3 linked regions of the Stegostoma tigrinum genome follow. The protein of the gene in region 1 purifies or fractionates together with the protein of each later gene. This does not show direct contact. Links are inferred from orthologs where the notes say so. Each region holds a gene or a part of one and is shown in the gene's direction. Other genes may lie near its edges. The genes, in order: irak1, stip1 and E3 ubiquitin-protein ligase pellino homolog 2.

Region 1 (7,539 bases):
AACCATCATCCAATGAATGCCCTTCCGAAAACCTTGATTGAACTTGCCTTTGCCATGCTGCTTGAAGAGGGAGGGGAGAAAACCCTTAAAAAAAATCCCTTCAGTTTAGGAGCAGGCTATTCGGCCTATCAAATCGCACCAACACTCTATACCCAAAACCTGCATGTCCCATGGCTAATGTACCTAGTCTGCATATCCTTGGACACTACGAGGTAACTTCGGATGCCCAACCCACCCTAAACCACACATCCCTGGATACTGTGGTCAGTTTAGCATGGCCAGTTCACCCTAACCTGCACATCTTTGGACATGGGAGGAAATTGGAACCCCCGCAGACACAGGGAGAATGTGCAAACTCCACACTGACCGTTGCCGGAGAGTGGAATCAGATGCAGGTGCCGAGTGCTCCGAGGCAAGTAGTGCTAAATACGAGTCACCACGCTACCACAAATACTGTGCTTTCTTGTTTCGGCTGATCCTTCGACAAACGGGAAAATTTTCTCCCCTTCAGTCAGATGCGTCACAGTTTTAATCAGATCCTTCTGACAAAAATAGCTCGTAGACTCTCCAACCTATTTCTCATACCTCACTGTCCTTGTGAGTCTCTGCTACGTTCTCTCCAAAGCGTCCATGTCCTTCCTGAAGAGTGGTGCTCGGAACTGCACACGCTCCTCCAGCTGGGATCTAACGAAGTGCCTCAGATATGTTCAGTACAATTTGCTGGCTGTCGTACTCTTATTTGGAACTGAGCTTTGTGGTTCTCAGTTAATGTTCATGAGGGTTTAGGTTTGTTTAAACAGAGCTCCCCCTGATGGTCCCAACTGCTTGTCATCCCAAAGACTAAGATACTCAATGTGGAGACAGTTAAGAACTGAAGATGCTGGAGTCAGAGATGACACAGTGTGAAGCTGGAGGAACACAGCACGGCAGGCAGCATCAGAGGAGCAGGGAAGTTGACATTTCAGATCAGAACCCTTCTTCAGAAATGTACTGACCCTCCGACAGTGCGGCACTCCCTCAGCACTGACCCTCCGACAGTGCAGCGCTCCCTCAGCACTGACCCTCCGACAGTGCGGTGCTCTCTCAGCACTGACCCTCCGACAGTACAGCGCTTCCTCAGCGCTGACCCTCCGACAGTGCGGCGCTCCCTCAACGCTGACCCTCCTGCAGTGCCCACTCCCTCAGCACTGACCCTCCAACAATGTGGCGCTCCCTCAGCACTGACCCTCCAACAGTGCCCGCTCCCTTGGCGCTGACCCTCTGACAGTGCTTACTCTCTCGGCACTGACCCTCTGACAGTGAGGCGCTCCCTCAGCACTGACCCTCTGACAGTAACCGCTCCCTTGGCGCTGACCCTCCGACAGTGCGGCACTCCCTCAGCACTGACCCTCCGACAGTGACCGCGCTCTCAGCGCTGACCCTCCGACAGTGCGACGCTCCCTCAGCACTGACCCTCTGACAGTGACTGCTCCCTTGGCGCTGACCCTCTGACAGTGCTTACTCTCTCGGCGCTGACCCTCCGACAGTGCGGCGCTCCCTTAGCACTGACCCTCTGACAGTGCCCACTCCCTCAGTACTGACCCTCCGACAGTGTCCACTCCCTCGGCGTTGACCCTCTGACAGTGCCCGCTCCCTTGGCACTGACTCTCTGACAGTGCCCACTCCCTCAGTACTGACCCTGCGACAGTGTCCACTCCCTCGGCGTTGACCCTCTGACAGTGCGACGCTCCCTCAGCACTGACCCTCTGACAGTGACCGCTCCCTTAGCACTGACCCTCCGACAGTGCCCACTCCCTCAGTACTGACCCTCCGACGGTGCCCACTCCCTCAGCACTGACCCTCCGACAGTGCCCACTCCCTCAGCACTGACCCTCCGACATTGCCCACTCCCTCAGTACTGACCCTCCGACAGTGCAGCGCTCCCTCAGCCCTGACCCTCCGACAGTGCCCGCTCCTTCCGCGCTGACCCTCTAACAGTGCGGCACTGTATCCTTACACACCTTCCAACTGCGTGGCACTCCCGTCAGTACTATTGGAGGGTCAGCACTGATGGAGTGGGTGCTGTCAGGGGGTCAGTTCGGAGGGAGTGCCTTGCTGTTGCAGGGTCAGCACCAGGGGGAGCAACCACTGTCGGACGGTCAGTGCTGATGGAGCTCCGCACTGTCGGAGGGTCAGTGCTGAGGGAGCGGGCACTGTCGGAGGGTCAGTGCTGATGGAGTGGGCACTGTCGGAGGGTCAGTGCTGATGGAGTGGGCACTGTCGGAGGGTCAATGATGATGGAGTGGGCACTGTCGGAGGGTCAGTGCTAAGGGAGCGGTCACTGTCAGAGGGTCAGTGCTGAGGGAGTGGGCACTGTCGGAGGGTCAGTGCTAAGGGAGTGGTCACTGTCGGAGGGTCAGTGCTGAGGGAGTGGTCACTGTCAGAGGGTCAGTGCTGAGGGAGCGGTCACTGTCGGAGGGTCAGTGCTGAGGGAGTGGGCACTGTCGGAGGGTCAGTGCTGATGGAGTGGGCACTGTTGGAGGGTCAGTGCCGAGGGAGCGCTGCACTGTTGGAGGGTCAGTGCTGAGGGAGTGGGCACTGTCAGAGGGTCAGCGCTGATGGAGTGGGCACTGTCGGAGGGGTCAGTGCTGATGGAGTGGGCACTGTCAGAGGGTCAGCGCTGAGGGAGTGGGCACTGTCAGAGGGTCAGCGCTGATGGAGTGGGCACTGTCGGAGGGTCAGTGCTGATGGAGCGGGCACTGTCGGAGGGTCAGTGCTGAGGGAGCGGGCACTGTCGGAGGGTCAGTGCTGAGAGAGCGGGCACTGTCGGAGGGTCAGTGCTGAGGGAGCGGGCACTGTCGGAGGGTCAGTGCTGAGGGAGCGGGCACTGTCGGAGGGTCAGTGTTGATGGAGTGGGCACTGTTGGAGGGTCAGTGCTGAGGGAGCGGGCACTGTCGGAAGGTCAGTGCTGAGGGAGAGGGCACTGTCAGAGGGTCAGTGCTGAGGGAGCGGGCACTGTCAGAGGGTCAGTGCTGAGGGAGCGGGCACTGTCAGAGGGTCAGTGCTGAGGGAGCGGGCACTGTCAGAGGGTCAGTGCTGAGGGAGCGGGCACTGTCAGAGGGTCAGTGCTGAGGGAGCGGGCACTGTCAGAGGGTCAGTGCTGATGGAGTGGGCACTGTTGGAGGGTCAGTGCTGAGGGAGCGACGCACTGTCGGAGGGTCAGTGCTGAGGGAGCGGGCACTGTCAGAGGGTCAGTGCTGATGGAATACTGCGCTGCTGAACTTCAAAATGCGGCGGAGCACTTCGAGTGTCTTTACTTTCAAGGCTGTGGACCGAGTGCTGACAGTGGGAGCGGACAAAGTTTAGGGTCAGCACAGAGTTGATGGGCCGAATGGTCTCTTTTGTCATGTATCGTTCTGAGATCTGCTCTGCAATTGGGCTCAAGACGGTCATTTTGTATTTATGAAGACTCCCAATCTCATTATAATAACATAATGAAAGTTTTAAACATCTTTCGGGTATTGGTATTTTTCTTGGGTCAAGGGTCAGGTTCATGCGAACTATCTGATTGAAGGGGCACCAGCCAATCGTCAACAGCGCGCTCTGTCCTTGAGCCAATCGCTGATAAAGGTGCGGGCACAAAGCCGTAAGTGGGATTAGAGTGACAGACTGTCGGACCAATCAAACCGCGAACTGGCCGTGGGCGGTGTCCGTTTGCCGAAATCGCGTTTGAGTGGAGGTGGGACAGAGCCGGCTCGTGATTGGGAAGGGGCGGAGAAGGAAGTAAGGGGGCATGGACTTCATTGAGCCCACAAACTCACCGGCCGACCAATCAACTCCAGCTGCATTCTGAGTGGCAGCGGGTTTGGTCAATGGGGAATAGGAATGCCTATGACGACGTGGCCGGATGGCCAATCGAATGGCAGGCACCGTGACGGGGGCGGTAACTTCTCGAGCTCCTCCTGGGCCGACCAATCCAGTTCGTGATTCCTCTCTGCGTGGCTGCAGTTTCGACCAATGGGAGCGAGGGACACGTGGGGTTATTTTATGTTTTTTTCGCTGTGTGGGGACGAATAGACGCGTTGGGCGCTGTCCGATTGGCGGGGCGGTCAGCCAATGGGAGGCGTCCAATCGGGCCCCGGGTCCCGAGGAGTGGCGGCGACGCCAGTCGCGGGTCTCGGCGTTGGAGGGTGAGGAGCTCTGTTTGGTTTCCATAGGAACGGGTTGCGGCCTAGACCGGCACGAACCAAAGACAGGACGATGTCCGAGTGGAGCTGGACCACTGAGTACGCTTACAAGCTGCCCGCCGCCACCATGTGCGAATTCTGCACGGTGATGGACTCGCTGGGCAGTGGCGACTGGAACCGCTTCGGTGAGAGACAGCGAGAGCGCGCACCCTTCTTCTTGATCAGTTAACGCGAGATTTGAGGATCCAGGGTAGCCATTCAACCCCTCGAACCCTGCTGCCCCATTCCAGTGGCTGATCAAGTGGAATTAGGTCGCCCACCTACCTTCAGCCCATTTTACTTGCTGAGCAACGATTTATCTATCTCGGTGCCCCGGGTGATAACTTCTTACGCTTTTCACTCTTATTCCTACATAGAGATGTACAGCATGGGAACAGACTGTCCCACTTGTCCATGCCTATCAGATATCCTAAATAAATCCAGCCCCACTTGCCAGCATTCGGCCCATAACCCTCTTAAACCCTTCCTATTCTGATGCCTTTTAAATGTTGTAATTGTACCAGCCTCCACACTTCCTCTGGTGGCTCATTCCATACACACACCACCCTCTTGTGTGAACAAGGTGCTCCTTAGATCCCTTTTAACTCTTTCCCCTCCCTCCTTTTAAACCTATGCCCCTATACTTGTCACCCTACCTATGCCCCTCATGATTTTATAAGCCTCTTTAAGGTCATCCCACAGCCTCCAACATTCTGGGAAATTAGCCCCAACCTATTCAGCCTGCCCCCTATAGATCAAACCCTCCAACCCTGGCAACATCTATGTAAATCTTATCTAATACCTTTCAAGTTTCACAACATCCTTTCTACAGCAGGGAGACCAGAATTGAACACAGTATTCCAAAAAGTGGCCTCACCAATGACCTGTACAGCCGCAACGTGATCTAGACTTGACAATTAAGATCTGAGTCTAATTCCGTTTCTGGCTGAATGGGTAGGTACTTGGCAAATGCAATACAATGAGGATAAAAGTGAGGCTATCCACTTTGGTCATAAAAGCAGATTATTGTCTGATTTGTGGCAGGTTGGGACAAGGTGTGCTGTTGGCGTGCGGTGCAGCAGGCCGTGAGGAAAGATAATGACATGCTGACTTTCATAACCAGAGAATTTGATCATCAGAGTAAGGATGTCTTGTTACAGGTATACAGGCATTGGTGAGACCACAACTTGAGTCTTGGTCTCTTAGTCTGAGGAAAGGCATTCTTGATATTGAGGGAGTTTGCGTGTTTTGAGAAGATTTGTAGCTCAGGTTGAATAGAAAGCAGGACATAACACCAGCGCTTCACCGGAGGCTCACTGATGATGTTACCTAGAATGGTGATGAAATGTCTGAAAACAAACCTTCCAGCTCAGCGAGCAAACTCACATCCAGATTGAGGGAGTTCAGCAAAGGTTCACCAGACTGATTCCCAGGGTGGCAGGACTGACGGATGAGGCAAAAAAAACTAGGTTAGCTGGGCTTGTACTTGCTGGAATTTAGAAGAATGAGAGGGGATATCATAGAAACATGTAAAACCCTGATGGGGCTGGACAGAATGTTAAGAATGTTCCTGATGATGGGTAAGTCCAGAGCAAGGAGTCACAGTCTGAGAGGGTAAGCTGTTCAGGACTGAGATGAGGAAGAATTTCTTCAGTCAGAGAGCTGTGAACCTGTGGAATTCTCTCCCACAGGAAGCTGTTGGGGCCAGTTAATTAGATACGTTCAGGAAGGAGCTGGATGTGGCCCTCATGGCTAAAGGGATCGGGGGTATGGGCAGAGGGTGGGAATGGGATACCGAAGTTGCATGATCAGCCGTGATCTTAGAGTGGTGGTTCAGGCTTGACGGGCTGAATGGCCTACTCCTGCACCTTTTGTTCCTATTTTTCTAATCCACTGAAAGAGAGTTCCAAACGTTGATCCTGAACAGATTAGGCTGTAATTCCCACCTTAAAACTAAAGAAGCTGTTCCTAGGTACATTAGTATCAGTGTTGGTGCTGTAATTGGTGATGTGAGAACTCTTCACTATACTCAGAGTAAATGCGACAATAAAGGCTGTTTTATTCTATGCCCCCACTTCTCAAATCTCCAACTACTGGTGAGGCCAGTTTTGGAATACTGTGATCAATTCTGGCCTCCTGGCTATAGGAAAGATGTGAAACTTGAAAGGGTGCAGAAAAGATTTACAAGGATTTTGGAGGGTTTGTGCTTTAGGGAGAGGCTGGGTCATTGGACTCTTGGTGGGAGGTGGGGAGGGAGCCTTAGAGGTTTTATAAAATCACGAGAGGTATGGATAGGGTGAACTGTTGAGGCCTTTTCCCCCAGGGTAGGGGAGCCTAAAACTTGGTGTAAATTTTTAAGGTGAGGGGAAAAGTTTAAAAGGGACCTAAGGAGCAATTGCTTCTGCAGAGTGTGGGGAGTATATGGAAAGAGCTACCAGAGGAAGTGGTGGAGGCTGGTACAGTTACTAAAGCCATCTGATTGGGTACGTGAGTAGGAAGGGTTTAGAGGGATATGGGCCAAATGCTGGCAAATGGGACTAGGTCACATTGGGAAATCTAGTCAGCACAGACAAGTTGGACCAAAACGTCTGTTTCCGTGCTGCACATCTGTCTTTAGTGGAATTTAGTTTACCTACTCAGAAATTGCTTTAAAAGCTCAGCTGGTTTGGCAGCATCTGTAGAGAGAGAGAGTTAATGTTTCATGCCCAGTGACCCTTCCCCCTTCAGATGGTTTTATATAGCTGTAGTGAAACTTCTGCATTCTTATACTCCAGTCCTCTGTGTATAAAGGTCACATCCCATTTGCGAAACCATAAATCACAAGAAAAGCTCAATAGATCTGGCAGCATCTGTGAAAGAAAAAATAGAGTTGACGCTTCAGGTCCGGTGACCCTTCATCAGAACTCTTGGTGGCTGGGAAAATGTCTTTTTTTAAATGCAGAAGATAGGAGTTGCGGGGAGGGGGCAAGGAGTAAATGATAGGTGGGGGATCGGACCTTAAGAGAGAAGAACAGTTGAACTGACGAGAGTGGGTGATGATCAGCCTGGGAGAAGGAACATCTATTAGTGACCAAAAATAGATTATGGGTTGTGTGTAATAGCCGGACATTTGTGGGAGTATGGGCAAGGAGATAGGAGAAGCTCAAGCCCTAAAATTGCTGAACTCCATAGTGAGTCCAGAATGTTGTAGGGTCCCCGAACAGAAAATGAGGTGCTGTTCTTCTAGCACGTGCTGAGCTTTGCTGGAGCACTGCAGCAAGCCGGACACAGAGCTGTTGGCCAAGGATTTATCACCTGTCTAGCTTTTTGTCGCCCTGGCTTGCTGGCAATAATC
Region 2 (8,362 bases), on another chromosome or scaffold:
TCCTCCATATATAACCAGTGCAAGTTCAGGAGTTGCACCTTTCCCTGAGAAAGTGAATCTGTGGAGGGCAATACTCCCTCAAAGCAAAAACAGAAATTGTGGGAGAAACTTCAGGTCAGGCTGTGGGGAGAGAGAGAAAGTGTCAATGTTTCAAGTCCAGTGACCCTTCTGAACTTGGTGCACTGTTCTTAACTGGCCATTCATCAACTCAATCATAATGTTTTCCCCCAATCCCGTTGCATAAATTGTTATTCCGTCTCAAATTTGGCAGTCTTGAAGCTGTCCTCCTGAGGTGATCAACCTCTCTCTCTCTCTTCATTGAGGCGCAATACTGTTTTTGACTTGGAAACTTGGTGGTTACAATGGACTAGGTGGTGCGGGGAGGTTGGGTACTTACCTTTCGCCACTTTCCAGTCGGTGGTGGACCATGAAGGATTAAAGTCCTCGTGGGACATCCCGGAGAGGCAGGCGGACGCCGTCGAGGGAGGGCTGCGGAGCCGGCGGCCGGCGCACAGCAGCCAGCGCGCAGGCGCGAGGCCGCCGGCCGCCGACTGTTGTGACCGTTGGATTCGAAAAACGTTCGAAACGGGCGGCGCGCGAAACGGCCCCAAGCCCCAAGGAAAACGACCTCGCCTCAGCACGGCGAACAGTTTCTCCATCCCTTCGTTTCCGCCCGAGCACCTTTATCGCTTCTCTGTACTCGATGTCTGATGGCGCTGTCGAGGTCGTTGCAATGATTTTTGTATTTTTTTGGAGGGGGGTGTTCGTTTAATTTTGTGAAGGGGGACTCCAGGTGAAGCAAGCTTTTCCGGCACACGTGACCTCTCAAGCGAACTAGGCAGCGGAGGGGGCGGAAGTCGGGTGCGTCGCCCTCTGGGAGGTGTAGTTTCCCGCTTGTTATCCCAATCGGTGGGAGTGTGGGCTGTGAGTTCTACCTGGTGCGTCACTCTGGAATTTGTAGCCTGCGCCCGCCTGAACCAATCGGAAAGCAGAATTTGGGCGAGCGGCCTCAAGGAGCATTGCCTTTTGGGATTTGTAGTTCCCTGGTAGCCCAGTTCGTCCCCTCCCCTCACTGCACCACACAACCAGCCCAGCTCTTCCCCTCCACCCACTGCATCCCAAAACCAGTCCAACCTGTCTCTGCCTCCCTAACCGGTTCTTCCTCTCACCCATCCCTTCCTCCCACCCCAAGCCGCACCCCCATCTACCTACTAACCTCATCCCACCTCCTTGACCTGTCCGTCTTCCCTGGACTGACCTATCCCCTCCCTACCTCCCCACCCACACCTTCTCCACCTATCTTCTTTACTCTCCATCTTAGGTCCGCCTCCCCCCTCTCTCCCTATTTATTCCAGTTCCCTCTCCCTATCCCCCTCTCTGATGAAGGGTCTAGGCCCGAAACGTCAGCTTTTGCGCTCCTGAGATGCTGCTTGGCCTGCTGTGTTCATCCAGCCTCACATTTTATTATCTTGGATTCTCCAGCATCTGCAGTTCCCATTATCTCTGATACCCTTCACAGCTACCTGTGGCAAAAGAAGGCTTGACAGCCTGTTATTCTGAAAGTATGCCCTCTAGACCTAGACGCTTCCCTGAGGGGAATCATCCTCTCCACACTTACACTGTCAAGCCCCTGAAGGATCCTATACGTTTCAATGAGATCACCTCCCATTCTTCTAAACTCCAGTGAGTAGAGTCCCAACTTATTTAGCTTTGCTCATAAGACAATCCCTCCATACCAGGGATCATCCTTAATGAACCTTCTCCAAACTGTCCCAGTTTAAATAAGGGTCCAGACTACCCACAGCAGTCTAGATGTGATTACCTAGCAACATATACGCTTACAGTGAGACTTCCCTACTTTTATACTCCAATCGCCTTGAAATAAGGGACAACCTTCCATTAGTCTTCTTGATTACCTGCTGCATCTGTGTGCTAGCTTTCTGTGTTTCATGTACAAGTCCCTTAAGTCCCTCAGAGATAGCAAGAACTGCTGATGATGGAGGAGCAGCAGGCCAAGCAGCATCAGAGGAGCAGAAAAGTTGGCATTTCAGATCAGGACATGTCTTTCAAAATTGAGACGTCATTGTGATACTTGAGGAGGCCCAGGATGGATATATCACCCACGGAGTGGGTGGGGAAGTTGAAATGGTTTGTGACTGGAAGGCATGGCCTCCTCTACATCGGTGAGACCCAGTGGAGGCTCATAGATGCTTTGTAGAGCACCTGTGCTCTGTTCGCAACAAAAGACAATACCTTCCAGTCACGAACCATTTCAAATCCCCCTCTCACTCCCAATCCCTGGGTGACATGTCCATCCTGGGCCTTCACCAGTGTCACAATGACACCGCCCAGAAACTGGAGGAGCAGCACCTCATATTCCTATAATCCAATGCTCTCAGTATGGACTTTACCAATTTCAAAATCTTTCCACACTCATGACCAACCTCCTCTCTCATTCCTGCCTTCTTGACCTGACACAACTTGTCCATGTTCTCTCCACCAATGCACTCCTCCCACCTCACTGACCAATCCCCAACACTGCCTACCTGCATTCACCTATCACCATCCCACCTACCTTCCCCAGCCCTACCCCTCCTCTCTGTTTATTTCAGAGCTGTCTTCCCCTGCCCCTCATTTTTGAAGGGTCCTGGCCTGAAATGTCAACTTTCCTGCTCCTCTGATGCTGCTAGGCCTGCTGTGCTCCTCCAGCTTCACACTGAGTTACCCCAAGTCCATTTGTGTTTATGCAGTTTTTCTCTTTTAAATAATACTGTTCTTTTGTTCTGCCTTCCAAAACAAACAACTTCGTGTTTTCCCACATTATACTTAATTTGTCTGTTTTTGCCCATTTACCTAACCTATCAATGTTTCCCTGTAAACTGTTGGTATCCCTCTCACAACTTGTCTTCCACTTATTTCTGTATCACAGAATGGTTACATTATTTTGCCACATCATTTCTGCGCTGGCATACCAAAAGAACAACTTACTTACAGTAATTCATCTGCGTTCTTCCCATAACCCTACACATTCTTCATTTTCAGATGAAAGTCCACTTGAACCTGTTGCATCACAATTTTACATTCGTTGAGCATCACTAAATATTGTAAAACATTCCTTCAGGTGATTCACAGGAGCCGAGAAGATGATTTAAGAACTTTATCATGAACCACCTAAAGAGTTAGTTGGTCAATAAACAGGAATTATTTTCAGGGTTTCAAACTCTAGGGATAAAATTTTAAAATTTAGGTAGGAAGAAAAGAGAAGCAAATAATAGGCAGTGGATGAAATATCCACACTTGTCAGACAATTCAAAACTGTGAAGGAATCCAAATGGGAAATCAGGAAAACTTCTATACTCAGAGTGGTCAGCATGTGGAACTCCTACAGAACATGTTGAAGTGAATTACCTAGATGGTTTCAAAATAAAATGACACATAAATATGATTTAGGAAGGATTTAAAGACAATGGAAGGTATGTTAATACGTGGTGAACAATGAGCTTGAGCTTAATTAAACCCAACAGGATCAAAATTCTGAAACAAGAACAGAAATTGCAGAACAAATTCAGCAGATCTGGCAGCATCTGTGGAGAGAAAGCAAATTTAAACAATTCGGGTCCAGTGACCCTTCATTGAAACTAACAGTGGATTTGATGCAGATTTAATAATCTCCTCCAGCCCCGACACCCTTCTCTCATTCTTCTCTCCGATTCCATCCTCTTGAGCACCCCCTGTTCCCAACATACTACCATTTTCAACCTTGCCTTCAACTGCCGGGGATCCTAAGATCCAACGTGGAATACGTGTGTGAATATTACGATGGTACAACCATATTAGTTGGATATGACCTGCAGAGACAAGTTGATTTGTATTGCATATTCCATTGTTTTCAAATCAAATTGAGTGGCATGGTGGCCTCAGTGGTTGGCACTGCTGCCTCCCAATGCCATGTTCCATGTTCCAGCCTCGGGCAACTGTCTGTGTGGAGTTTTCATAAAATCCCCATGTTGGTGTAGGTGTACTCCAGTTTCTTCCCACAGTCCAAAGTAGTGTAGGTTTGGTGGATTGGCCATACTAAAGTATCCAGCCATTTGCAAGCTAGGTGGATTAGCCATGGGGAACGCATGTTTACAGGGATAGGGGAAGCGGCTGGGTCTGGGTGGACTCAATGGGCTGAACGACCTGCTTTCACTCTGTAGGAACTCAGTGAATCTGTCAAAGTTCTGATCAGCTATGTACATTTTAAAATTTGCATATGCTGTCAGAGACAGATTTAGAAATTAGTTAGGAGGTATGTGGGATGTTGCTGTTATTTATTCCCATTTTTGTTCTTCAATATAAATACCATACAAACATTTTGATTTAAATATTATAGGTATTTTGCAACGCACAAGTGCCTGTTCCACCTCATACGCTTCTCATCATCCCAATATTCGCAGAATACATTCTATTTGAATCTTGGAGGTAAATTGTTTGTAAAGACCCTCAAAGTGAACTGCCTCCAACTGCTGTGCTCTAGAATGTTCTTCTGGCCGTTTTAAAAACTGGTCAGCCCATTGGCATGAGTGGGTGGGCCTAGGGCGTAGCTGTTCTACCAATTGGCCATGCCGTCCTGATTGACAGTGCCATTACCCAACCCTGACCATTTAACAGGCGGTACGACCGGCATGAGTGGGGAACATTTTGTAATTGACGGTAGGACAGCCAATCGGAAAGCGATATCTCGGAAAGCTGGACCAACGGGGTGCGAAGCGTTAGAGGCGGGCAGGCTTCCTTTGATGGATTGTTGAATGAGCCAATTGAATGAGAACATAGGGAACGTCCTTGGACGTGGCTCGGCCTCCGGGAGACAGACGGGCAATTAGACTAATCGGAAGAGAAAAGAACTTGAAGACCCTAACTAATAAGAAGAGCGTGAAAGGAGGGGGCGGGATTGCGTCCGATGATGGACTGCCAGGCAGACTAATCAGAATGAAAGAACCTGAAGATTTGGGCCAATGAGGACTGTGGGGGCTGGATGCAACCCGTAGATGGACTGACGATTGGACCAATCGAGAGGGAGACAGTTGGGGGCTGCGGCCAATGGGAGCGTGTAGGAGGTGAGGGCGGGGATTTCCGGCGTGAGTTCTGGTAAGTTCGAGAAGGCGCGTGGTGAGCTGATCGAACTGGTAATGGATCAGGCGAAGGTAAGAGAGAGGAAGGAACGCAAAATAAACGCTTGAGAAAGCACTGAAAAAAAGTGCACTACAACCCTGTCCTAAACTAAGGACGTTAGCAGGACGATATATGGGTCCTGTGATTTATTATTGCACTGGCTGTACTGGGGTGGAGCTCCATTACAACGTGAACGTGAGGTTAGGTAGAAAATAAACCCTCAAAAGTAGTAATCTCTGGTTTACTGTTGGTGTCCAGCTGGAATAAGGGAATGAATATAAGAGATAAATCAATTGCAAAAGAGATGTTATAATGTTTGGGAATTCAGTTTCTTGGATCATTAGGATCTCTTTTGGGACAGAAAAGACCTGTTCAAAAAGGATGGGTTTCATCTGAACTGGAAAGGGACCAACGTCTTCGTTGAGACTATGAGAGATCCTAAGTCACAGCGTTAATAGAAAGATGGATGCGAGCCTTGCAAGAACAAGTTAGTTAGAAGAACAAGAGCAAGTCTGAGAACACGATAATTCTGAAGAAGTGAACTGTATTTATTCCGATGCAAGTGTTCTTACTTGTAGGGCAGATAAGCTGTTGTCATGTTGAGGAACATGAATTGGAATGTCATAGTGATTACAGAAACTTGGCTGAGGGAAGGACGGGGCTGGCAGCTCAGTGTTCTGGGTTTCAGGTGCTGTGGGAAGAAGGGAGACAGGCGAGGAGGGGGGAGTGGTGTTTTTGGTTAGGAAGAATGTTATTGCAGTAATTAGAGCAGATATTTCTGAAATATTGTCCAGTGAAAACATATGGATAGAAATTAGAAACAAGGAAGGAATGATCATGTTGATGGGATTGTATGAAACTACCCCCCCTCCCAAAGTAGTTGGGGGATGTTGAAGAAATATGTAGAGAACTCTCCAGTTTACATAATAATAGGGTTCTAATATGTGATTTTAATTTTCCAAACTCTGACTGGGAGTGTTAAAGATTTGAATGTGAATAATTTGTTAAATGTGTTCAGGAATTTTTTTTATTGATACATAAATGTTCTGACTAGAGAAGGAGCAAAATGTGACCTCCTTGAGTAGTAATACAGGGCAAGTGACTGAAGTGTTAGTAGGGGAACACTTTAGGACAAGTGATCATAATTCTATTGGACTGAAAATAGTTCTAGAAAAGGATAGGCCCTCTATGAAAGTTAACCTTTTTCCAATTAAAACTTTATTTTTAATGATATGAGACACAAATTTTCAGAAGTTGATTGAAGTAGACTGCTCATGGGTAAAAGGACATGTGATAAGTGGGAGGCTTTCAAAAATGTGATAACGGGAGTTTGGAGTCATTATGTTCCTCTGATTATAGGGTAAGGCTGGTAGGATTAGAGAACAATGAATGAATGAAGATATTAAGATTCTAGTCAAGAATAAAGAATCATGAGATATGGACAACTGGATTCAAATGAATCTCTTGCACAGCATAAAGAGTGTAGGGGCATTCTTAAGAGGGAGCTCAGGAAGGCAAAGAGGGAATGAGAGCCTTGGCAGGTAATGTTAAGGATAATCTAAAGAAATTCCATCAGTACATTAAGAGCAAGAGAGCAACTGGAGAGAGAGAGGGAGAAAGTGCATGTAGGGCCCCTTAAGGATCAAATATGTTGTCTTTGTATTGAGCCTCAGCAGATAGAAAATATCCATTTAAAATTCTTCTGTCAGTTTTTATTGTGGAGAAAGAAATAGAGGTGAGAGAACTCGGGGAAATAAATATTGATGTTTTGAAGGCAGCTCACATTACAGAAGAGGAAGCTCTGGAGGTCTTTAGAAAATATAGCAGAAGATAAATCTCCAGGACCTGATCTAGTGTAACTAAGGACCTTGTGGAAAGTTAGGGAGGAAAAATTTGTACCATCCGTAACTACCAGTGAGGTGCCTAATGTTATGCCTTGGTGTTAGGAGAAGCCTGGGAACTATAAACCCGTGAGTCTGACATTGGTGGGTAAGTTGTCTGAGATGATTGTAAAAGATAGGATTTACATGCATTCAGAGAGGCCAGGAAGAATTACAGATAGTCAGCATGGATTTGTGTGCGGGACACCATGTCTCTGAAACGTGATTGAGCTTTGTGAGGAAGTAACCAAGCAGATTGAGGGTAATGCAGTAGACCATTATTTATTTGGACTTTAGTAAAACCTATGACGAGGTTCCACATGGTAGACTACTTAGTAAAGTTAGATCACATAGGATTCAAGATGGGCTTGACAACGGGAGACAGAGTGGCAGTGGGGGGGTTGTTTTTCGGACTGGAGGCCTGTTACTGGTGGTTCCACAAGGATGGTTCTGGGTCTGCTTTTGTTCATTACATATAAATGATTTAGATGAGAATATGGAAGGCCCAGTTAATAAGTTTGCAGACAATACTGAAATTGGTGGTTATAGTGGACAGTGCGGAAGGTTACTTGAGATTACGAAGAGATCTTGATCAATTGTGGCAATGGGCTGAGGAGTAACAGATGGAACTTAATTTGGGTAAATGCAAGGTTTTTGCCTTTTGATAAAATAAGCAAGGGCAGGACTTGGACCATTCATGGTAGGATCTTGGGTAATGTAGAACAGGATATAAGGATAGGCTCGGACCTCTTTCACAGGAGTGTAAGAGGTTGAGAGATGATCTTACAGAGGTTTGTAAAATTGGGGGGTATAAATAAGGTGAATGACAAGAGTCTTTCGCCAGTGTGGGGGGTTTCAAGACTGGGGGGCCTATTTTTAAGGTGAACGAAGAAAGATTCTCAAAAGGATATGGGAGCAACCTTTTTATACAGTGTGGTTTGTGTGTGGGATGAACTTCTTAGGGGAGTGGCAGGTGCAGTTACAATGTTTAAGACATTTGGATAAGTTCATGAATAAGAAATGTTCAGAAGGATATGGGCCAAGCACAGGCAGGTGGGAATAGTTTGGTTGGGATCACGATCAGCATGAACTAGTTGGATTGAAGGGTCTGTTTTCATGCCATATGATTGTGTATAAGTTGCCAGGCTAGCCTGCATCGCCTTATTCATGTTCAAGGTCCTTCAGTATAATTTATTTTCTTTAAGTAACATTGTTTCACCAACTTGTTTCGTTGGTAGTGTTTCATAATCACTTTGTTGTGTTATTAAAATGTTTTATAATGTTGCTACATGAGAGAACCATAGGAGTAGAAAATTGCCATCGAGGTG
Region 3 (7,845 bases), on another chromosome or scaffold:
TCCTGAGACTCTCAACCCTCAGAGAAATAAATGTTTCCTTATTTCTGTTTTTAATGGGTGACCCCTTAGTTTTAAACTTTGGCACTGGTTCTAGATTCTCCCAAAAGAGGAAACTTTCTTTTAACATCCACCTGGTCAAATATCGTCAGGGCCTTGTGTTTCAATGAAATCACCTCTGATGCTTTAAACTACAGAACCCTAGCCTGTCTAGCCTTTCCTCAAGGCAATCTGCCCTTCCAGATATTAGTCTAGCAAACCTGTTCTGAACTACTTCCAATGCATTAACATCCTTCAACATTAATGGTGACCATTACTGTACACAGAACCCCAGATGTGGTACCATCCATGCCCTATGTAACTGAAGCGTAACTTCCTTACTCTTGCATGTAATTCTTCTTGCAATGAAAAATAATATTCTATTAACTTTCCTGATTACTTTTTGTACCTGCAAGGTTACCTGTACTCACCCTCTGCAATTCATGCACTTGGACACTTGGTTCTCTCTGCATTTCAGACCTCTCACCACTTAGATTTTTAAAAATTCTTTCTGCCAAAATGAACAATTCTACACTTTCCAGTGTTGTACTTTATTTTCCAGAACTTTGCATGCTCACTTAATCTATCTATAACCTTTGTACATTCTTTCTTTCTGTCCTCTTCAAAACTCACTTTCTTATCTTTGTCATCAGCAAATTTGACTGCCATATCTCGGTTAACTTTATCCAAATTATTTGTATAATTTGTAAAGTCGAGGTCCCAGCATCAACCTCTGTAGTGCACGACTAGTGACATCCAAACAGTCTGAAATGAACCATCAATTCCTAATCTTTACTACCTATTAGCCAGACAATCTTCTATCCAAGACAAGATGTTACTCTCTGTACCATGAGCTTTTATTTTCTGCAATAACCTTTATCAAGCTCTTCATCAAATGCCTACTGTAAATCTAAATAAGACTATATCCACTGATTCTCCTTTATCTATAGCAGGAGTTATTTCCTCAAAGAACTCTAATAAATTAGCTAAACATGATTTCCCTTTGGCAAAACCATACAGACTCTTGCTGATTACTTTGAACTTATCTAAGTGACCTGTTGTAACATCTTTAATAACAGCTTCTAACACTTTCCCCACAGCAGATGTTAAACTCTCCACAGGTATGCATTCACTCAACAATGCATGTAACATTGACTGTATGTTACAACTGCTTAAATAAGTAGATAGCCCAAGGGTTGCATACTGCCCACATGATAAACAATATTTACCAGCTAAGCGGGGCTTGTAATCCAAGGGCCATTTTTGGGCCCTGTCAGGTTTTGAATTTTCAGTTTTCAACGATTACTTAGCTATAGGTGTTCCATGTATGCTCATTAAAGTGATCTCCTGTTAATTCTAACACTAATAATTTTAGAATGAAAGGCCCAATCCCATAACTTGCATTCTCATTTAAGGTGACACATTGAAAATATTCATGATATATCTACTAGTAAGGAAAGCAATGGTGACCAATTAGTCCATTAGCAAAAACATGCTATTCCATGTTGTCTAGAAATGAAGAAGGTTTACCCACTCTATCATTCACTCTTTCTTTAATAAAGATTAAGGGCCATCTGCCTCCAGGGCATTAACCTTCTTCCATGAGCCCAGACATGAGTCAATTAGCTTCTTTCAACCTCTAAACTGCTATCTTTTGCATAAAATAAGGATTGGTCCCATGATGAATCATAGATGTAAGATCTTTAAGCGGGTTTGAGATTTTCAGCTCGAGTTGCAAATTGTTGCTGTTAAAAATGGTTTGACTGTATAGTCAGAGATAATGGGAAGGGTCTAGGCCCAAAACGTCAGCTTTTGTGCTCCTAAGATGCTGCTTGGCCTGCTGTGTTCATCCAACTTCACACTTTGTTGACTGTAGAGTCAAATCTCTTTGGTGGGGCTGATGTGGCTAAAAGGCAGCTTCACATTAAGTTTTTATCAATTTCAAATCAATTTTTGGAAAACCAATGTGAAGTACTATGAATAAGAACGTTATTAATCACTAATGGTCCATTGGTCGTGTGTGTGTGAGAGAGAGAGAGAGAGGTCAAGAAACACATAGGACCCCTTCCTCCTGGACACCACCCCAAGGCCTCTTACCCTCCCTTGACCTCTTCATCTCCAACTGCCATCGAGACATCAATTGCCTCAACCTCTCCACCCCTCTCACCCACTCCAACCTCTCCCCTGCAGAACGTGCAGCCCTCCACTCCAATCCCAACCTCACCACAAAACCCATGGACAAGGGAAGCACAGTTGTAGTATGGAGCACTGACCTCTATATTGCTGAGGCCAGGCGCCAATTCTTCAACACCTCCTCCTACCACCCCTTGCTCAGGACCCCATCCCCCCACTACCAAACCATCATCTCTCAAACCATCCAAAACCTCAGGTGACATCCAAGCCACAGCCTCCAACCTCATCGTTCCCTATCCCCACACTGTCCCCTTCTATCTCCTTCCCAAAATCCACAAACCCGATTGCCCTGGTCGACCCATTGTCTCTGCCTGCTCCTGCCCCACCAAACTTATCTCCACCTATCTCGACACCATTTTCTCCCCCTTGGTCCGGGAACTCCCTACCTACATCCATAACACCAACCACGCCCTCCACATCCTCCAGAACTTCCGATTTCCCCAGTCCCCAACACCTCATCTTTACCATGGACGTCCAGTCCCTATACACCTGCATTCCCCATACAGATGGCCTAAAAGCCCTCCAACAACTTCTTGTCCAACAGGCCTGACCATTCCCCCTCCACCGACACCCTCATCCGCCTAGCCAAACTCGTCTTCACCCTCAACAACTTCTGTTTCAATTCCTCCCACTTCCTACAGACAAAGGGGGTGACCATGGGTACCCGCATGGGCCCAAGCTATGCCTGCCTCTTTGTAGGTTACGTGGAACAATCCCTCTCATGTACCTAAACTGGCCTTAAACCCCACCTCTTCCTCCGTTACACTGATGACTGTATCAGCGCCGCCTCATGCTCCCACGAGGAGCTCGAACAGTTCATCCACTTCACAAACCCCTTCCACCCAACCTTAAGTTCACCTGGACCATCTCCAGCACATCCCTCACCTTCCTGGTCCTCTCTGTCTCCATCTCTGGCAACCACCTAGAAGCAGATAATCATTTCTTTCACAGCTATCTAGAATACACCTCCTCCCACCCACCTTCCTGCAAAAATGCCACCCCCTACTCCTAATTTCTTTGCCTCCACTGCATCTGCTCCCAGGATGAGGCATTCCACTCCTATCCATCTCAGATGTCCTCATTTTTCAAGGACTGCAACTTCACCCCCGCAGTGGTAAAGAACGCCCTCAACTGTGTCTCCTGCATTTCCCGCAACTCATCCCTCACAGCCCCTCCCTGCAACAACAAACAAAACAGAATCCCCCTCGTCCTCATGTATCATGCCATCAACCTCTGGATGCAACATATCATCCTCCGACACTTCCACCATCTGCAATCCGACCCCACCACCAAAGACATTTTTCCCTTCCCACTCTTATCTGCTTTCCAAATGGGCTACTCCCTCCGCGACTCACTTGTCCGCTCCATCTCCCTTCTAGTCCCACCATACTCGGCACTTTTCCCTGCAACCGCAGGAAGTGCTACAACTACCCCTACACCTCCTCCCTCACCCCCATCCCAGGCGCCAAGAAGACTTTCCACATCAAGCACAGGTTCACTTGCACATCTGCTAATGTGGTACACTGCATCCGCTGTTCCTGTTGCGGCCTCTTCTATATTGGGGAAACTAAGCCGAGGCTTGGGGAACGCTCTGCAGAACACGTACACAGTGTTCGCACTGAACAACTGCACCTCCCAGTCGCAAACCATTTCAACTCCCCCTCCCATTCCTCAGGCAACATGTCCATCCTGGGCCTCCTTCAGTGCCATAACGATGTCACCCGAAGATTGCAGGAACAATAACTTATATTCCGCTTGGGAACCCTGCAGCCCAATGGTATCAGTGTGGATTTCACCAGCTTCAATAACTCCCCTTCCGCTACCGCAACCCAAAACCAGCCCAGCTCGTCGCCGCCTCCCTAACCTTCCTGCCTCTCACCTATCCCCTCCTCCCACCTCAAGCCACACCCCCATTTCCTACCTATTAACCTCATCCCGACCCGCTTGACCTGTCCATCCTCCCGGGACTGACCCCTCCCTACTTCCCCACCTATACTCATCTCTCCTGGCTCCATCCCCGCCTCTTTGATCTGTCAGTCTCTTCTGCACCTATCTTCTCCTCCATCCATCTTCTATCCTCTTCCCTCTCTCTCCCTGTTTATTTCAGAACCCCCTTCTCCTCCCCTATTTCTGAAGAAGGGTCCAAGACCGGAAACATCAGCCTTCCTGCTCGGCCCTCTGTGTTCATGCAGCTCTACACTGTTATCTCAGATTCTCCAGCATCTGCAGTTCCTACTATCTCTGGGTTTTTTTCCCCGTTCATTTCTCTTTTGATCCGAACCACTGACCACTTTGCAATTACAGATTGAATACAGCATTACATTCCAGAAAAAAGCTGAAAACTGTCTTTTTTTTAAAAGATTGTGACACAATTACCAGTATCAATTCCCAGTTGTAGATAACCCATTTTAATATCCAACAGTTAGCAAGCTGTTTCTGAAGTGGGCAACCCGACACAAAATACTTCAATTGTCAATGAAAAAGAAATGAAACTGTTTTGAATTTTAGTTTCAGTACCAGACACAGGCTGGCCAATCAGTACTGAACATGCAGCTTGACGCGCCTGTGTTGACTTGAGGGGTTCTTTCCCCCAGCAGGATTTCCTGCTTTGTCGCTGACATGTTAGTTTCGAGGCGACCGGACGAAGCTGCTCCGCTTGTCTGATCGTCTCTGGCCTGAAGCGGTGAACTTTCCGCTCGCCGATAACAGCACCAGCGGGTTCCGGGCGAAAAGTTAACCAGCGGCTTCGCAGCTGCGCTCAGTGTGGCAGAGTTCTCCGCTCCTCGGAAAGGCCTTCGGTATGTACTGTTTCTGTCAACAACATTTCAGGGCAGAGAGCTGGATCAGATGTTTGAGAGCGGAAAAAAAACTTTGCATTTCAACCCTCTCGATCTGTTTTACTTCCGTTGTTTGTTCTGTGTCGGATCACTGCTTGCGTAGCACAGCTTAGTTTAAATGAACGAGCTATCATTTCGCGATGTTTCCCTGCTTGTTGTAAGAATACAGATGCATTTTGAGCACGCAAGCTGTGTGTTTGCTATGATAATAACTGGAAACAATGTCGATTTTTATTTCTTACGGATTTGCCAACTAATCCGACTGTAGCGAGGGTTGGTTACATGATCCAGTCAGTTTCGACGTTTATCAGTTTATTGTTTATAAAATCCGCCGTTTCAGTTTGCGTGATCAATTGAAGCCAAAGAATTGAGTATCTAGAGATAACACGCGGTTGAGATGAATTCTTGACAAAATGGTCGATTTCACTGTTTCACAAATAGATTTATCCTTACGGGTCATGTACAGGCGGCTGCAATGGGTTAGATTACTGTGACGTTTCCCGACAAGATGCTCAGTATTTCCCAGTTTTGAAAGGAAGCTGTGCATTTCCGTGTTTATTACTTGTATTTTCTTTGAGCACGCATTTCTTTTCTGTTTTTCCTGGAACTTCTGCCTGGTATCCTTCAGCGGTTTTATAAGAGTCTAATGGACAGTGTTCTCACGTTATTCCACCGTATATTGTATAATAAGAGTTTGATCCAATACTAGTTCAGTGTGCAAATACACACTTTAATTTAGATAAATGTGAGGTGCTGCATTTTGGAAAGGCAAGCCAGGGCGGGTCTTATACACTTAATGGTAAGGTCCCGTTGCTGAACAAAGAGACCTTGGAGAGCAGGTTCGTAGTTCCTTGAAAGTAGAGTTGCAGGTAGAACAGGATAGTGAGGAAGGCATTTGGTATGCTTTCCTTTATTGGTATGTACATTGAGTATAGGAGTTAGCAGGTAATATTGCGGCTGTGCAGGACATTGGTCAGGCCCCTTTTCGAATATTGCATGCAATTCTGGTCTGCCTGCTGTAGGAAGGATGCTGTGAAACTTGAAAGTGTTCAGAAAAGATTTACAAAGAATTTGCCGGGGTCGGAGGCTTTGAGCTACAGGGAGAGGCTGAATACTCTGGGGCTATTTTCCCTGGAGCATCAGAGGTGGAGGGGTAACCTTATAGAGGTTTATAAAGTCATAGGGGCATGGAAAGGGTAAATAGACAAGGCCTTTTCCCCGTGGTGGTGGAGTCCAAAACTAGAGGATGTTGGTTTAGGGAGAGGGGAAAAAGATTTAGAACAAAGAAAATTACAGCACAGGAACAGGCCCTTTGGCCCTCCAAGCCTTTGCCGATCCAGATCCTCTATCGAAACCTGTTGCCTATATTCCAAGATAATGAAGTGTGAAGCTGGATGAACACAGCAGGCCAAGCAGCATCTCAGGAGCACAAAAGCTGACGTTTCGGGCCTAGACCCTTCATCAGAGAGTGGGATGGGGAGAGGGTTCTGGAATAAATAGGGAGAGAGGGGGAGGCAGACCGAAGATGGAGAGAGGATAAGATAGGTGGAGAGGAGAGTATAGGTGGGGAGGTAGGGAGGGGATAAAGTCAGTCCAGGGAAGACGGACAGGTCAAGGAGGTTAGTAGGTAGGAAATGGAGGTGTGGCTTGAGGTGGGAGGAAGGGATGGGTGAGAGGAAGAACAGGGTAGGGAGGCAGAGACAGGCTCTGAGCCTATTTTCCAAGAATCTGTATCTCTCTGCTCCCTGCCCATGCATGTATCTGTCTAGATAGATCTTAAATGACACTATCGTGCCCGCCTCCACCACCTCTGCTGGCAACGTGTCAAGGCACCCACCACCCTCTGTGTAAAGAACTTTCCACGCATACCTCCCTTAAACTTTTCCCCTCTCACCTTGAAATCATGACCCCGAGTAATTGAGTCCCCTACTCTGGGGGGAAAAAAGCTTCTTGCTATCCACCCTGTCTATACCTCTCATGATTTTGTAGACCTCAATCAAGTCCCCCGTCAACCTTCGTCTTTCTAATGTAAATAATCCTCATCTAATCAAACTCTCTTCGTAGCTAGTGACCTCCATACCAGGCAACATCTTGGTGAATCTCCTCTGCACCCTGTCCTAAGCATCCACATCCTTTTGGTAATGTGGCGACCAGAACTGTACTCAGTATTTCAAATGTGGCCGAAGCAAAGTCCTATAAAACTGCAACATGACCTGCCAACTCTTGTACTCAATACCCCGTCCAATGAATGAAAGCATGCCATATGCCTTCTTGACCACTCTATCCACCTGCATTGCCACCTTCAGGGTACAATGGACCTGAACACCCAGATCTTTCTGTGCATCAGTTTTCCCGAGGGCTTTTCCATTTACCATATAGTTCACTCTTGAATTGGATCTTCCAAAATGCATCACATAGCATTTGCTTAGATTGAACTCCATCTGCCATTTCTCCGCCCAACTCTCCATCTATATCTATATTTTGCTGCATTTGCTGACAATCCCGTTCACTGCCTATTACTCCACCAACCTTAGTGTCATCTGCAAAATTGCTAATCAGACCATCTTTACTTTCCTCCAGATCATTTATGTATATCAACAACAACAGTGGTCCCAACAAGGATCCCTGTGGAACACCACTGGTCACAGTTCTCCATTTTGAGAAACTCCCTTCTACTACAACTCCCTGTCTCCTGTTGCCCAGCCAGTTCTCTATCCATCTAGCTAGTACACCCTGGACCCCATGCAACTTCACTTTTTCCATTAGCCTACCATGGGGA

What was found.
Region 2: the proteins of irak1 (region 1) and stip1 purify together in Homo sapiens (affinity purification with mass spectrometry; 3 studies listed by BioGRID and IntAct, with this or other methods). This does not show direct contact. The link is inferred for Stegostoma tigrinum from reciprocal best matches to the Homo sapiens genes IRAK1 and STIP1.
Region 3: the proteins of irak1 (region 1) and E3 ubiquitin-protein ligase pellino homolog 2 purify together in Homo sapiens (affinity purification with western blotting; 7 studies listed by BioGRID and IntAct, with this or other methods). This does not show direct contact. The link is inferred for Stegostoma tigrinum from reciprocal best matches to the Homo sapiens genes IRAK1 and PELI2.

What each region holds. Positions count from the first base shown.
Region 1 is NC_081402.1:3,445,832-3,453,370, reverse strand, and holds the start of irak1 (interleukin-1 receptor-associated kinase 1), read left to right. Parts: upstream 1-4,129; 5' UTR 4,130-4,239; coding exon 4,240-4,351; intron 4,352-7,539.
Region 2 is NC_081395.1:4,430,206-4,438,567, reverse strand, and holds the start of stip1 (stress-induced-phosphoprotein 1), read left to right. Parts: upstream 1-5,114; 5' UTR 5,115-5,171; coding exon 5,172-5,186; intron 5,187-8,362. Other genes in the region: ADP-ribose glycohydrolase MACROD1-like, read right to left, coding at 398-659. UniProt on the Homo sapiens protein: Acts as a co-chaperone for HSP90AA1. Mediates the association of the molecular chaperones HSPA8/HSC70 and HSP90.
Region 3 is NC_081363.1:48,278,453-48,286,297, forward strand, and holds the start of E3 ubiquitin-protein ligase pellino homolog 2, read left to right. Parts: upstream 1-4,783; 5' UTR 4,784-5,027; intron 5,028-7,845. UniProt on the Homo sapiens protein: E3 ubiquitin ligase catalyzing the covalent attachment of ubiquitin moieties onto substrate proteins. Involved in the TLR and IL-1 signaling pathways via interaction with the complex containing IRAK kinases and TRAF6.